Neodiprion lecontei: one gene and its partner. The protein of the gene in region 1 purifies or fractionates together with the protein of each later gene. This does not show direct contact. Links are inferred from orthologs where the notes say so. Each region holds a gene or a part of one and is shown in the gene's direction. Other genes may lie near its edges.

What was found. The genes of interacting proteins can lie anywhere in the genome.
Region 2: the proteins of ubiquitin conjugation factor E4 A (region 1) and UBX domain-containing protein 4 purify together in Homo sapiens (affinity purification with mass spectrometry; 3 studies listed by BioGRID and IntAct, counting the BioPlex papers as one, with this or other methods). This does not show direct contact. The link is inferred for Neodiprion lecontei from reciprocal best matches to the Homo sapiens genes UBE4A and UBXN4.

What each region holds. Positions count from the first base shown.
Region 1 is NC_060264.1:1,777,409-1,785,833, forward strand, and holds ubiquitin conjugation factor E4 A, read left to right. Parts: upstream 1-2,515; 5' UTR 2,516-2,671; intron 2,672-2,815; 5' UTR 2,816-2,874; coding exon 2,875-3,474; intron 3,475-3,554; coding exon 3,555-3,947; intron 3,948-4,033; coding exon 4,034-4,360; intron 4,361-4,447; coding exon 4,448-4,641; intron 4,642-4,726; coding exon 4,727-4,837; intron 4,838-4,913; coding exon 4,914-5,229; intron 5,230-5,293; coding exon 5,294-5,470; intron 5,471-5,616; coding exon 5,617-5,762; intron 5,763-5,841; coding exon 5,842-5,991; intron 5,992-6,066; coding exon 6,067-6,310; intron 6,311-6,370; coding exon 6,371-6,533; intron 6,534-6,602; coding exon 6,603-6,807; intron 6,808-6,912; coding exon 6,913-7,063; 3' UTR 7,064-7,149; downstream 7,150-8,425. Other genes in the region: uncharacterized protein LOC107220280, read left to right, coding at 1-38, 327-433, 524-579.
Region 2 is NC_060263.1:33,915,353-33,921,863, forward strand, and holds UBX domain-containing protein 4, read left to right. Parts: upstream 1-1,973; 5' UTR 1,974-2,033; coding exon 2,034-2,115; exon of another isoform or gene 2,116-2,116; intron 2,117-2,476; coding exon 2,477-2,611; intron 2,612-2,767; coding exon 2,768-3,216; intron 3,217-3,359; coding exon 3,360-3,632; intron 3,633-3,731; coding exon 3,732-4,043; intron 4,044-4,184; coding exon 4,185-4,420; intron 4,421-4,593; coding exon 4,594-4,732; 3' UTR 4,733-5,208; downstream 5,209-6,511. Other genes in the region: prenylated Rab acceptor protein 1, read left to right, coding at 303-536, 671-870, 954-1,060. UniProt on the Homo sapiens protein: Involved in endoplasmic reticulum-associated protein degradation (ERAD). Acts as a platform to recruit both UBQLN1 and VCP to the ER during ERAD.

The sequences.
Region 1 (8,425 bases):
GCAACTCAACGGACGCTTGCGAGAAAAAAAATGAAGGAGTATGATTCTACCTGATATTTTGCTCTATTTTTTCATATGGTTCACTATTTGTTCTCACAGATTTTTCTTCGATTATTCGATAATAAACGATCAAAGAATTGCAAAATCATAATCAAGATCCGATTTTGTGTACTAATAATATTTTTCTGCCAGAAACTGACCAAACGCTTCATGAAAGTAAATGAAATTATGATTTATTAAGTGAAATGCATCTAATGCTTTACTGGAGTGAAATGTTTTTCAGAAATTTCTTTGCTAAATCATTTTTCCTTCTTGGTTACTTTTAGGATGGGAAATTTTTCCTCTCCTCCTATAAGTAGTCGCACTTGTTCAGCCAGGAGCAGATGTCAAACATGGACATCAAACTCCAGAGAAAAACGGTCTCAAAATATTTGTAAGAATTTACAAAATTTTTCATAATCAATTAACTACAATATCATAAATATCTGTCATTTTCATATTCCACTTTTTAATTCTTTCACAGATCACGGAATAAAGCGAAGTACGAGTGCAGGAACCGTTCGAAAACCTTGGAGATGAAAAACCATAACGGTGCCTTTACATTAAAAAGTCTAAGTCATATGTTTTTGTACAAAATTTCATACTGCTGAAATAATTCCGTACAGTGCCTTGTCATTTTTTTTGTTATTAAACGCAATTGTTAGCCCTACAATGTTGTATTCGCCCATTATATTTCCAGAAACCTACCAAATTTACACATAATAGGAAATTAACTAAACAAGTTGAAATCGCAACGACATATAATTTATACTTTAAACTTCCCTCCATAAGTAGCGACGTGAAGTGAGCTATTATTGGACAGGCAGCAGCGCGATTTTCAATTGTCCCATACGTGATAGGATATTGCCTATATACAGGCGTACTCACCTCCGTGTTTTGGTTTATTGAAATTTTTCATTATTTCTTACGATGCTGAAGTTAGTAACGCTATCGTAACAATTTTTCACAAACTTTTTTTTTTTGGTAAACCGTAATAAAACAAAACATACTCTTATGTTGAAATTTAACAAGAAAACAGTGATTATTTTCCCAATTTTTCAATGCAATAACGTTACTAACTTCAATCTTCTGATTTTTCTCCCTCCCGTAATACTGCGAATATTCCACAATATATATTCATCAAAATATTTTTACCTTCATGTACAAACTGCAGTATTGATGACATCCTCGTTAATCCTCTCGTCCCGCTGCCACAAATAATTTCACCGATTCACTGAACCGAAGTACCGACGAACACGTCGAAGATGCACATCACTTCTTACCACACGAATAAAAATAAACCATCTTCAAATGCGCACTCAATTAATGCTCTCAACGCGAGAGCAATATTCCGAATTACCGAACCTGTAGTAAACAACTCTGAATGTCACCCGACGATTGAACGTAAACTGCGACACATCACGTCGATCACGTCGTTTATATTGCACATATCTTTCCTTTTATGAAACCACTGCCACAGTATTTAGTTACCGACAATAAGTTGACAACATGACGGTCATTTGTTGATTGTTTATTCACCGTTTATACCTCTACAGCGATGGCACAACCTTCCGCGTAAAAAAAAAAAACTCTTTGATCAAAATAACCTGACGAATTCCTTCAAATTTACGCAGATACTAAGATATTTATGTCGATTCGGTATCGATGGACCAATTTTTCGAACGAAATATAAGAACAAGAATTTTCATTCGTCATGCACTGTCACAGCACTGGGCAACAAGTTGTTGCAACTTTTTCTTCGACCGGTTTTCACGTGAAATATTGTTGGATGTTTACAAATAACTTTACCAGCCACGGAAAATTACTCTATAGATGAATTTTATCGGTTCATATTCAATAACTCACCGCGATAATATGATTATCCCGTGATTTTCATACATATTCCGGCGTCCGACATCGGGAGACATCCAAGCTCGTTGAAATCGTATCTAGAACTGAACGATCTAGAAAGTTCAGGCCAGTGGTGACGTCACACAACCACCTTCTGTGCTCGCGACTTTATTTTTGAATTTAGAAATTACTTACAACGATAAATTGAAGTGATTTACGCGTTATTAATTAGTTTATAAGAATCGGACCACGCCGAATTCCCGACATCCGAACCGACGGCGTCACTGATTCGAATAAACGAACTAACCGACTCGCAGCCAATGTCACACCGATGAAATTTGTTTTTCGAGCGGTATCGAACGTACATTCAAATTCACATCATGTTCTAAGTTCACATCCATCCCAACGTCATTATTACCACGTGCATATACATTAATAATATATAATACAAACATGCATACATGGTATCCAAATATATATAAAACAGTGTTTTGATACGATTTTGTGAGCTTTATCCGAAGGATGCAAACAATAAAATTATACGAAATGACACATCTCGCTACTCATCTCTGATAAAAGTCGCTACACGTGCTGCACTCTGTGCGAATTTTTAATAACGGTAAGGAATTGTTTACGGACAGTACTGATCTCTATATAATTTGTGTAGCAGGGGTTAAGGATTATGACGTCAAAAAAATGATTTGTCAAAATGGTAAACATCGGACAATGACGATTAAAGACCTTAAAAAATATTGACACCACCAACGCGAGGTCTATAGAGGTAACGTAACTGAGACACCTCAATAGTTTACAAAAATTTTCAAGTCATTACACCATTATGTTACGTAAATAACCATCATAACCTAAGATCTATCCTGTACACACGATACTCCGATAACAATTACGTTATCTCTGTCTGTTGCAGCTTAACTCCTAGCATGATAGCTAGAACGTAATCTGTATAGTAAAATCGCTCCACCGACAATGTGTGAAAATGTGAATCACAATCCGTTTGCGGGTCTTTTTACATCCGTAAACGAAGCAGCTTCATTTTCTACCCAAAACCAACCTTCGACAGTCCATGCAGACGTATCAAAAAATACTGACGAACATTCGACAGCGGAGAGTAACAGCGTCAACGGTTCTAAACCAATCAACACAGCAGCCGAAGCTGATGCTTTCATTAACGACATAGTTGAGGAAGTTTTCGGCTTGACGCTGCATTCGGATGGAGCTAAAATAAAATCTGGACGACAGCTGGTCTTTCTTGAGGACTTAGCCGCTGCTTTGGCCCCTCAAGATTGGATGGATGCTGAGTCGGTTGAGCACGCTATTTTTGAACGACTTATGCTCAGCAATCCAGGAGCCAAAATAGTTGACAATAAAAATGAAAAACAAACAAACTCTATCGACGATCATGTTTCAGAGACTGAAATTATACCCTATTTGTACGAAAGTTATCGCAGATTACTGCGCTATAAACCAAGCCATAGATTGCACGATACGATAGAAAACATCACACGAATCGTCGTCAGGAATGTTGGCACTGCTATGCAGGAACCTGACTTATTCCAAAGTCAAGAGGTTCGTGATTTGTTTATTACCTGAAATCTATACACCTTGAAATTCTAATTTCGTATATCATTTTAAAATTATATTCACAGGTGCACAAGCAATTTATAGCATTGTTTATGGACGGTGGAGTAGTTGGACAGGAGTTGACCTCCTTTGTAACAGACATTGTCAACGAGTTAAACTCCGAGGATAGGGATGAAAGCCTCAGTGTGATCAGCACAGCTTTCACGCCAATCCTGAACAGCATTCATCAGGAGGTGGCACAGTCCAATCTCTTAGTTTTTCGACAATACTGGTTCGGACTTCTACAGACGTTTGCTTCTGTTGAAGGTCTCGCCTTGTTTCTCATATCGCACAGCACTCCTCGTGCTATGCAAGGAAAAGCGTATTCAGATACGCTGTTGGGGGCACTGCTGTGTCTAAGCTGTTTGCCCAAAACTCTCGAAGCTCCGTTTGACTTCTTTGACAAACCTTTGCAACAGGTGAGCAAAAAGAAACAATTATCGCTGCAACTCGATTTCAATTCGAATGGTCGATTCAATAACAGATTACTTTTTCTTGTTTAAAGTCAGTTACTTCTATGGAAGGAAATATCTGGACAGCGTTGGATGCGCTTAGCGAATCGCTACATAAAGTTTTTCACACTTTACTAAAGTGTTCCACAGATGTGCGCCACAAAACTTTAAAATGGATAGGCGATTGCCTCCATGCCAACGCTGGGAGAGGAAAGCTCTGGAATTCGCATAGCGATGCTGGACTGACTATGACGCTGACTGTATCCGATGGTTTCATGTTAAATCTCAGCTCAATATTGCTCAGGCTTTGCCAGCCCTTTTGCACAAAGTTGAACGATAGCAAACTGCTGAAAATCGATCCAACTTACTGTTCGGTCGAGGTAGGCTAGTCCCGTTCAAAGAATTTCTGTTAATATTTAAGAATCGCGTCTAATTCACAGCTAATATTCGGACATTCTTTTTCCTAGGCTCAAAATGAAGAAGAAAGTAAGACACGTGGTCTTCACGCCAAAGGTTTAAGTGGAGAAACATGTCTCATTCCAATACCCGAAGGTGAAACGCGACCAGCAGCTGAAACATTCGGTTTTGTTACTGAATGTTTTTACCTGACTCATAGAGCATTGGATCTCGGATACCGTGTTGTTTTGGAGAAACTCTTGAGGTGTGCTAAACATGTGCAACAAACTTTATATGCTAAAATCATTGTCCAAAATACAACCTGCTCAAAGTACTCTACTATTTTGCAGAGCAAATCAGGACTTGGCTCGTATGCGGCGGATATACAGCGATGCTCAGGGTGGTGGAAACTCTGAAGTACTAGAGGCTATAACCACGCGAATGGAAATGGAAATGACAAAGTAAGTGAGTAAGTAAGCAGGGGCTTGGAAGATGAATCCCTCAGACCAGGTCAATAAAAAATTTTAAATTTTCCAGATACTTATCGCTTAGAGCTAGTCTTTTGGCGCCTGAGATGCTGAGTCTACTGGCAAAATTCCACGCTGCGACGGCAGTCTGGCTAATACAGGTCAATCTGGATATTGAGTCTGATTTCATTAAGCATAGTACTTATGCACCAAGAGAATTTAAAACCGTCGCGTTCCCGCTACCTGAGACTGTGCCAGAAACTCTAAGATGCATTCCCGAATTTGTGGTCGAAAATACCGTCGGATTTCTCTGCTTTTTGCGACGTTTGAATCCAAACACGTTCGAAGAACAAGGACCGAGCTTTTTGAACCCAATCCTAACAGAGGTAAGAACTTTGCTTTTATATTCCGTTGGAAAACCTTATAAAGTGATTTAATTCAATCAAATAGGTCGTCGCGCTGATGGAGTCTCAACGGCGTTTATATAACCCTCACCTTCGTGCGAGACTCGCCGAAGGACTCGAAGCGCTCTTACCTTTAAACGAGGAACCCTCAAATCAAGCGGTAGCTGCGCTGGGAGTTTTTCACAGAGAGCAATTATTTGTTACTCATCCCCACAGACATCAGGTTAGTACAACGTAATTATATTCTTGAATGGGATGGATGGAAAGTTGGTTATTACTTTGAAATCACTTCGCACGCTTCTTTGAAAAGTCTTGTGAAACTGGATGACCATACAGACGATTAATATCTCCTTGTAATTTCTCATTTAGATAGTTACAAATTTGCTCCAAGTATTTGTGGGAATCGAGATGACAGGTCAGAGCGTTCAATTTGAACAGAAATTTAACTATCGACGACCAATGTACATAGTTATGGATTATTTATGGAAAATACAGGAACACAGGAATAATTTCAAGTAAGTGTGAATGTAAAGAGGAGCTCTTAAAAATAATACTGAATAAAATGTAGTCAATTCATGCGGGATGTGTGCACAGGCAACTGGCTAAAGAGGCTGAACAAAACATGGAAGCAGTGCAGCCACCACTGTTTCTCAGATTCATGAATTTACTTATGAACGACGCGGTATTTCTCCTCGATGAAGCACTCTCGAATATGGCACAACTCAAGCAACTATTCCAGGCAAGGTGAGCGTAAAGTTTTGCAGCAAGTAATCTGGAGATGTTTATTATAACATGACCAAGCGATTTATTCAATATCAGAGAAAATGGCGAGTGGGATAAACTTCCGCCGCACGAAAGAGAGCAACAGATGGGATATCTGACACATATCGGTATGATAGCCAGATTTGACAATATTCTCGGCAGAGAAACCATACACACTTTGGAAATGCTCACTTCTGAGATTATATCCATTTTCTGTCATCCCACTATGGTCGATCGCATCGCTTCGATGCTCAATTATCTACTGCTGCAATTAGTCGGACCTAATCAGAAAAATCTTAAGGTGAGATGAGACGCGTAATTGACGCAATTTCTCAGTATAACGTAGTGGATCTATTACTAGGTCAAGGATCAGAAAGAATACGACTTCAAACCGGCAAATTTGGTCTTAAATATCTGCAAGATATACATAAACCTGAGTCACAACGAAGCTTTTACACTGGCCGTTTCTCAAGACGGACGTTCCTACAGTCCGGAATTATTCAAACTCGCGGAAAATGTTCTAGGTAGGTATTGAAGATAATAAAAGACATAATATTATCCTGAAAATTGTCTAAATGCTCCTAATCAAATAGTACGCATCGGAGGTGGCGGGATACTTGGGGATCTTGACCAGTTTGCAAAACGGGTCGAGGAAGCTGCTAATCAGAAAAAACAAGAGGAAGAAATACTTTCTGGTGCCCCTGACGAGTTTTTAGACCCGATTATGTCCACGCTAATGACAGATCCAGTCATTTTACCGTCTTCAAAGATTGTAGTGGATCGCCAAACTATTGCAAGGTTCGTCGCAGCTGAAATCAACCATATTGCATCGATGGCCTAACTTTGTTATTACGAAATTTAATAGCAATGTGAAAGATTCATGAATACTTCGCAAATTTTTAGACACTTGTTAAGTGACCAGACGGATCCCTTCAATCGATCGATGTTGACGATGGATATGGTGAAATCGGATACGGAATTGAAAGACAAAATAGAGGAATGGATTGCTCAGAAAAGGAAAGAAAATATTCCGGGAAGTAGTAGTGAAAAATAATATCACTATTTCGTGGTGCTGCTTGGTTAAACCGATAAAAAAAAAATGTACAAGTATGAGTTTACTGGATTATAGATATCCAGAAAGAGTTTACTGCTTTTGATGATGTGTAACAATTCGACGAAACGTGTGAATAGAAAAATTTTATCACAAATCTGAGAGTCTGCAATTTTACCACGTCGCATCGATAATGAGCGAGATTTTATTACCCGAACCCAAATAACAGTGTAATCTATATTTAGAATTCTCCAACTTGATACTACTTTATAGTTTGTGTTCAATAATCAGCTCGCAGTGTCTTTTACGAGTGAAATCAATCAACCACCGATGCAATCTTATGCAAGTAGATTTTTATACCGTGTATATGTGATACAATTGATTAGCAACTTTGCTTTTATCAATTTGCTAAATAACTTCACTATCGGGATTGAATCATTGCAGACTGCGTATTGACAATTACCAATAATTACAATATTATCAAGAACTTTTATCAACACTATGCTAATTTTGTTTCATTTTATCGCGGATAATAGCTTTTTCCCATCTGTAGATGGGACGATTATCAAAATTTTGAAACATTCCATAGTAAAAAGAGCAAGTTCCTTTGTGTGTTATGAAAAATTGCTCGAATCTGCTGCATTGTAATCAAATGTTGATTCCTAACAATACGATTTGTTTGAATTTCGGAAATATAGCGTGCACAATTTAATAATTACTTCGAACCCAGTAGAAATATGAAGTTCAACTTAGTAAAAAAAATTATGGATACATCATAACGTGGTTGTCGCTATTGTAAATAGTTGACATATTTAATTTCTGCTGTCATGAGTTTAAATTGAATAGAATATTTGAACAAAATGACTTTTCACTGATTATAATGTTCAAAGACTTCTTCAAATTTCGGAAAAAAATTTATGATTTTTAGTTCAGCAGTCAATCGAAGTTTATGAATGGAAGAAAAATAGTTTATTGTAATATAATTTTTGTATTAATAATTATGGAATTATAGCATTCTACTTTTATTCCTCGAAATAATCATGTGTATAAAAATAGCATTTCACAAAACTTTAAAGCACGATAGGTTCAATTTGTTTCTGGATATTGGAAAATTTATCACTGCCTCTAATCAAGGCTAAATGTCAATAAAATGTTATGGAATAAACTGTTGATGTATTATAATTAACGTATTGATTATTTAGCATATACCTCTCTCCGTAAATGCCCAAAATTTCCGCAACCAGTTACCGTTTCTCGCGTCGATGGTAAAAAGTTACTTATAAACACATGAATAAATGAATAGAGAATGAATACAAGACGCTAATCGCCATTCCTCACATATCGATGATGCAGCGGGCTAATTAA
Region 2 (6,511 bases), on another chromosome or scaffold:
TTTACTGTCAATGCTGTCAATGATACGGGACATTTATGGTTTGCGTATTCCAGTCTGATTTAATTCAATAAATACGACGCTGATAATTCTACTTCTTTGTGTCAAAAAAAATGATAATTACATTGACAAAATTTCAACCGAGTTCGGAATTTAATACTACGTTTGACACACCCTATGACTACAGACACATTTTTTAATCATAAATGTGATCTCGGGAATCTTTTAGCTTTTTTCAAAATTTTATGCCTCGGACTTGGAAATCTGGCCTGCAAATGAGTTTCTTTGCCATTCCTGTTTTTCAGATTTGAACTGCCACAGTTATCACAACTTCCTCTTGGTCAAATGGGCTATCCTCAAGCTCAACAGTGGGTGCAACAAAGGCAGGCTAACATTAGGCCCTGGAGTTTATTCTTGAACACAAATAACATCAGAGCACCTCCAAGTTTTTCTAGGCTTACCAAACGAATTATGAGGAATATTGAGTACTTTCAAAGCAATTACTTATTCGTGTTCCTTGGTCTGGTTATCTATTGTTTGTAAGACATCATGTTTATTATATCTTTATAGAATATTTACAAATTATGTTATTGTTTGAAAGAAATTGGTACGATATTAGCAATGGTAAATAGTATTTTGACCATTTTTTTTACAACGTTTTGTATTTTTATAGAATTACTTCGCCGCTTCTGTTACTCACTGTTGTCTTATCCCTGGGTATTTGCTTCAAAGTTTCCCAACGGCACGCTAAGCAGGAATTAATACTGCTTGGTCACAAGTTAACGCTAGCTCAAGTTTACGGCCTAGTAGCTGCGTGCTCTTTGCCTTTGTTTTATCTTGTTGGCGCAGGAGCTGCTTTATTTTGGGTTTTGGGTAAGTTTTGACACAGTCACATTTAAATACTCCATAAACTAATTACAGAAGAACGAAAACGTAACACTGTATGTAATTTCTAGGGGTTTCATGGTTTTTGATAACCATTCATGCTGCTTTTTATAATATTGACTCGGTGCTATGTCCCGGTGAAGATGAATTGGAAGCACTAACAGTACACGAAGTCTAAGGAACGTTAGTCAATCATAATGGTAATAATAACGATATTTGCGAATATTTTGACGAGAAATTATAAATAATATAAACAGGTGTTCACGACGGATATCAGGACGAAACATCTGTAACAAAAATTTAGTCAATATATTTATATATATAGATTCATAGGCAATCTACACTTATGTAATACATATAGATCTACATAAATATATGAAAAATAAATAATATATATTTTGCTCATGCTGCATGTACTAGTATATCCTACAAAATAAGTGTGAGTTAAAACATGAAAAAATGATAAGACGATACTTCCGAGTCATTTATACCAATTTTTGCTACAATGATGCCTCTCTGCAATGCAACCTTTGTCAAGCAGATAGCAATAAATATTGATATTTGGATAAAACAATATTGTCTCGTTCATTTGTTAAGATGTGTTCTACCGAAATAGGTAAAAAAAAAATTATCTGCATAATATAACGTATATAGGTCATAGAATGTCGTACACGTCGTTAAATGAGTCTCAATTTCAAATCTAACTTTCACTGTGGTGACAGGCTATATATTTTTAACTTGAGATTCAAGTCGGAATAATCAGTTGAATCATTTGAGAGTTTAATTAATTGACATGTACTTCGGTCACATCAGAATAATCCCAAATATTTTTCAGTTTTGCCTGCAATACTAGCTACAACTGTTACATATAACGAATGTTTATTCAATAATCAAAAAAGAAATCACCCGGCAGTAGGTTGGGTAATTTCTTAAAACAATCGTTGTCATTTGTTGGGTAGTTCGATTACAGCGCACCTATCATCAATCCCCAGCAACAGGAAGACAAGTCGTGCACAAAACGCGAAACGTCAACTTGGCACATCAAAATTTCTAGTGTGATTATCAGCCGTCTTTTCGACGTTGCGTCATCAGTGTCAATATTCGCAAAGGAATTCACGTATATTTTTTCAGTGATAATCAAGAATTAGGAAATGAAGTGGTTCGAGGGAAATATTACAGAGGCAGTGGCGGCATCGAAATCGCGAAAGGCGATTTTTGTTGTGTTCGTTGAGGGTTCGTAGTTTGATGTTTAAGGTTATGTCTCTGCTGAATATTTCTTCTCGCATATTTTTCATAAATTTTACTTCTATCGCTTGGCGAATTGCCTCAGATTTGAATGTCTAATCCATTGTCAGCTTAATTCGCAAGTGTACTGTATAATCATTTTGTTGATACAGATGTGTCAACACTTTCACCATATTCGTTCGAATTTTTTTTTGCTTAATCATCGTTATTATATGATTTTTAGAAATTCGTCATACGTTTCTTCCTTTTCTTCGACATACTGCAAAACAATATTGTTACTTCAATACTTCTCATGAAATGCACAACTTCAAGTAATTCAAACTTTATTTTGTTCTCGGCATACATGTAGGAAAAGATGACGCGTCATCGAAAATTGCTAAAGTAATTGACAGTGAAGAAATTTCATCTCGATTAGAGCGGGATGATTTTGTTGCTGTCAAACTAGAGGGAGGCTCAGAATCCTACGGATTCTTTACACAAATTTGTATCCTTTTTTCCTACTACTTCATTTACAGAAACATGAAAATTTTGCTGGACACATGACCTACAATTCATGGATGGAGTTTCAGTTAAAAAGAAGTTTAGCCATTTGACATCAAGTTATATCCACTTAAAGTTATACCTTGACAATGGCATTCAGATCAATTGGTCCCAATTCCATCTATGTTTTTCATCGGCCAAAATGGAACACCAATAGAGATAATAGCTGGGGAAACGAGCGTTGCCGATCTAACATCGAAAATTGATACAATTCTGAAAAAAGCTGATCCAACGTCAAAAGATTCTTCTACAAGCTTTATTCAGGCTGAACAAAAGTCATCGGCAGGTAGCACAAGCTCTCTAAAGAATAGTGAGACAGAAATAAGCGCGATCGATTTAGAAAAAACTGAATCGGGAACAAGCATGGCGCCAATACCTGCCACCTCACAGCAACTTCCAAAAGAGGAAATCAAAATTGATAATGAGGACAAAACTGTAATCCCAGACATTCTTGAAACTGAAATAAAGCCTGCCCCAGCAAAACTGGATTCCCCATCCACCAGTCAAACTGCTACTGAAGCAACTAACAAACCGGAGCTAACAGCAGAAGTAAGAGTGCACATGAAAACATCTTTGAGAATATGTTAATTATTGTTAAAGACACGGTATTGAGATCGATTTTACTGTGAGATACAAATTTCATTGATAGTAGATTCTGTTCGCTTGAAAATATTCTGCGTCAATGTTTTTAGGAAAAGGTTGAACGAGCACGACGACTCATTGAGCTGCAAAAAAGACAGCGAGATGAAGAAGAGGCTAGGAAGGTTCGTGAAAGGGAAATTGAGAGGAGAAAAACTGGGCAAGAAATGCTGAAGATAAAACAGAAACAGCAAGAATTAGAAATAAAGCAGGCCTATGATGAAAGAATGAAAGAAAAGGCAGCTGAAGCTGCTGCCAGGGAAAAAGTCAGGCAGCAAATTATGCAAGACAAGCTTGAACGCAAGCAAAGGGAACTTGATCAGCAGGTTTGTATTCATCTGCTATCCGAAAATTCTCAAGAACGCTGTAGCTGTTAGTATGAAATACATTTTTAGATGTTATCTTTACCTTTCACGTATCCACAGCGGCAGTACGGACAACAAACTCCCATACAGGAACAGCCGAAACCGCGTACACCTCTTTCAAGTGACTCTGGAATCGTGCGAATCCAATTTCGACCACCCAGTGGCAATCCACACATGGGGCAGTTCGAGTCTACAAGTACACTTGGAGCTCTTCGTTCTTATGTTCTCGATAACATCGAGTTACCCTTCAGACAGTTTGCTTTGTCTACATCGTTTCCAAGAAGAGATCTAACAGTCGACGATGATGCCAAAACATTACTTGAATTAGAATTGGTTCCTACAGCTGTGATATTAATTCTGCCGCTAAGAAATGTACGTTCCATCAGCTGTAATTACTATTTTCGAGTGAAATTTAGCAGAGTGGTCAACTTTGGAGTCAAAGATGCATCTCCATACATGTCTTATACGATTATGCAATAAGGTGAAACCATGTTATTGTTTTTCTTGTTTCAGACCAACAGCACGACTGCGGTAACATCAGCCCAGGATGATGGCTACTTGTCGCGGTTAATGTGGGCAATTTTTGCGGGTGTACTTTCTGTGTACGGCTATATAAAGGGATATTTTACCGGACCTCCGGCATCTTCTGCAGAGCACCAAAGTTCTAGTTCAACTTCGGGTGGGGTTCATCCAACTGCCAGCAATACCGATAGTGGCAATTCAGAACCATCTCCAAGTGTAGCAGCTGGGTGAGATTTTAGTGTTGTACAGTATATTTTCTGGTCACTAAACACCAATGATGGGTGGTTCTAGATCAAGAGACACAAAAGTATAATGATAAAAGATGAAAACTTTTTTTTATTACGATTACACCAATTGCGACCAGTCGTTTAAAATTATCTATTTTTTTTTCTACTTGCAGATTACTAAGGCGTAATATTGGTGGTCAAGGAAGTGCAACGATAAGGACACAGGGCAACGTGCATAGATTACACTCGGGTGGTGATCCGGATAATGATGAGAATAACACTTGGAACGGAAACTCTACTCAGCAAATGTGAAAGTTCAAATATCCGTTGAAAAGTCGTCTGAAATTATCATTCGTGAATAATTATACGATTACGTTGTCAGAGGATTAAAACCGGAAGTGATTAGATTGAGGCAAAATCATCAGAAAAAAAAAGAAAAACCAGTTCGATATTTATTTTCACGACTATTTTTTATTGAATCACATTGTAAAACGAACACGTGCTTACCTACATTTTTTCGTAATGAAGTGTAACGAATGTGCAAGAAACAAATTGTCAACAGTTCTTATAGCTCGTTAATAAGCCACACCATGTTTCTTCCGTTGTTGAACAATCGAAGCTTAGTGCTGCTACGAGTATAATTACCATAATTTTTTTCTCTATAATACGGTGATTGGATTCCAAAAACGAAGGCGCAAAAAAACGGCAACAATTCTAACTTAATATTATATCTTATCTATTGTTAACAGATAAACCACATAATAAATAATCATTTACAATTATCGAAATTATTATTGTATGAGAAGTTTTTTTTCCTGTGTTGAAAGAGCTGCATTTGTCATTGCATTACCTTGAAATAACAATTTTACTACAGTTTCTCAAAATATCACAACGTTCTGCCTTCCAGGTATTAATATCCACTACCGTTATTTAGTTCCCCAACTGAATGACCACTTATTATACGTATGATTTCAATGAACTTCATCAATACTTAAGTCGCGACGGTTTGTATTACAGATATTAATGTCAATCAAGCAAATTGAATAATGAAGCAAAGACAAAAATTGCGGCATTATTACATACCTACTCATTATAATATATTCAATACTTTTTGATTCGATACGGATTGATATTAAATTTCTTTGAATTATCATACGATTGGGTGATATTAAAACCAGGCTGAAATTTTCAAGTTCACTAACAGTAGATGCATAACGCCCGTTTGTGGATATATTGGTTTATGTCACTCTCAATATTTGACATTGAAAAAGGATGAAAATGTATTATTATTCAAGGAGTACGAGAATTATTATTTTTATTTCTAAAACTACAATAGTCGTCTAATGTGAAAAATGAAAGTTACGTCAGAAATGTATACATAATTATATATAAATATCTTTATATGTATGTGCGTGTATGCAGAAGCATAATAAAAACGAAAGTAAGGCATATATTATACATACATTCCTATCGTGAAAATTGAAGAAAGAAATTCAATTTAGGTAAGTTGAATTGAAAAAACCAAAAAATTATTCAAATAAATATAAATTATTCAATTAACGCAAAAGAACAATTCTGTTAATTACCGAGAACCATACACCGCAATAATTAAACCTTTTATTAAACCACATACCTCTGTCGGACAGTGTTTTTTCTCTTCGGAAAGAATTGTTACACTACCTAATGTATTCCAGGTGCGGCGCGGGCTGAAATCTGATATCGAATATTTCAAGTGTTTAATAATTTTACGGATAATTGGTGTTTGGGTCGACATGTTTCAAGGGTCAAGCGTCCAGGCAGTAAATCAGATTCTCTAATCACTAGACACTTGCGAGTTAAAGCATGTGCACCCTGCAGTTTCTTCGGTGAACATCTTTTTCGGATCATCTTTCACTGCACTGACTAACCCTGTAGTTTGTTTTCTCAGGGACAGCTATAGTGAGAAAAGCACGGACATCATCTCAGATTTTAAAAATTTTCTCGTATTCGCTAATGATTGTCAGCAGACACGTGGAAAGAAATTTTTTTTAGATCTTACAACACCCCTGGTGAATATAAGGACAGCACTTTTTTTGGAGTTGAATCTACATT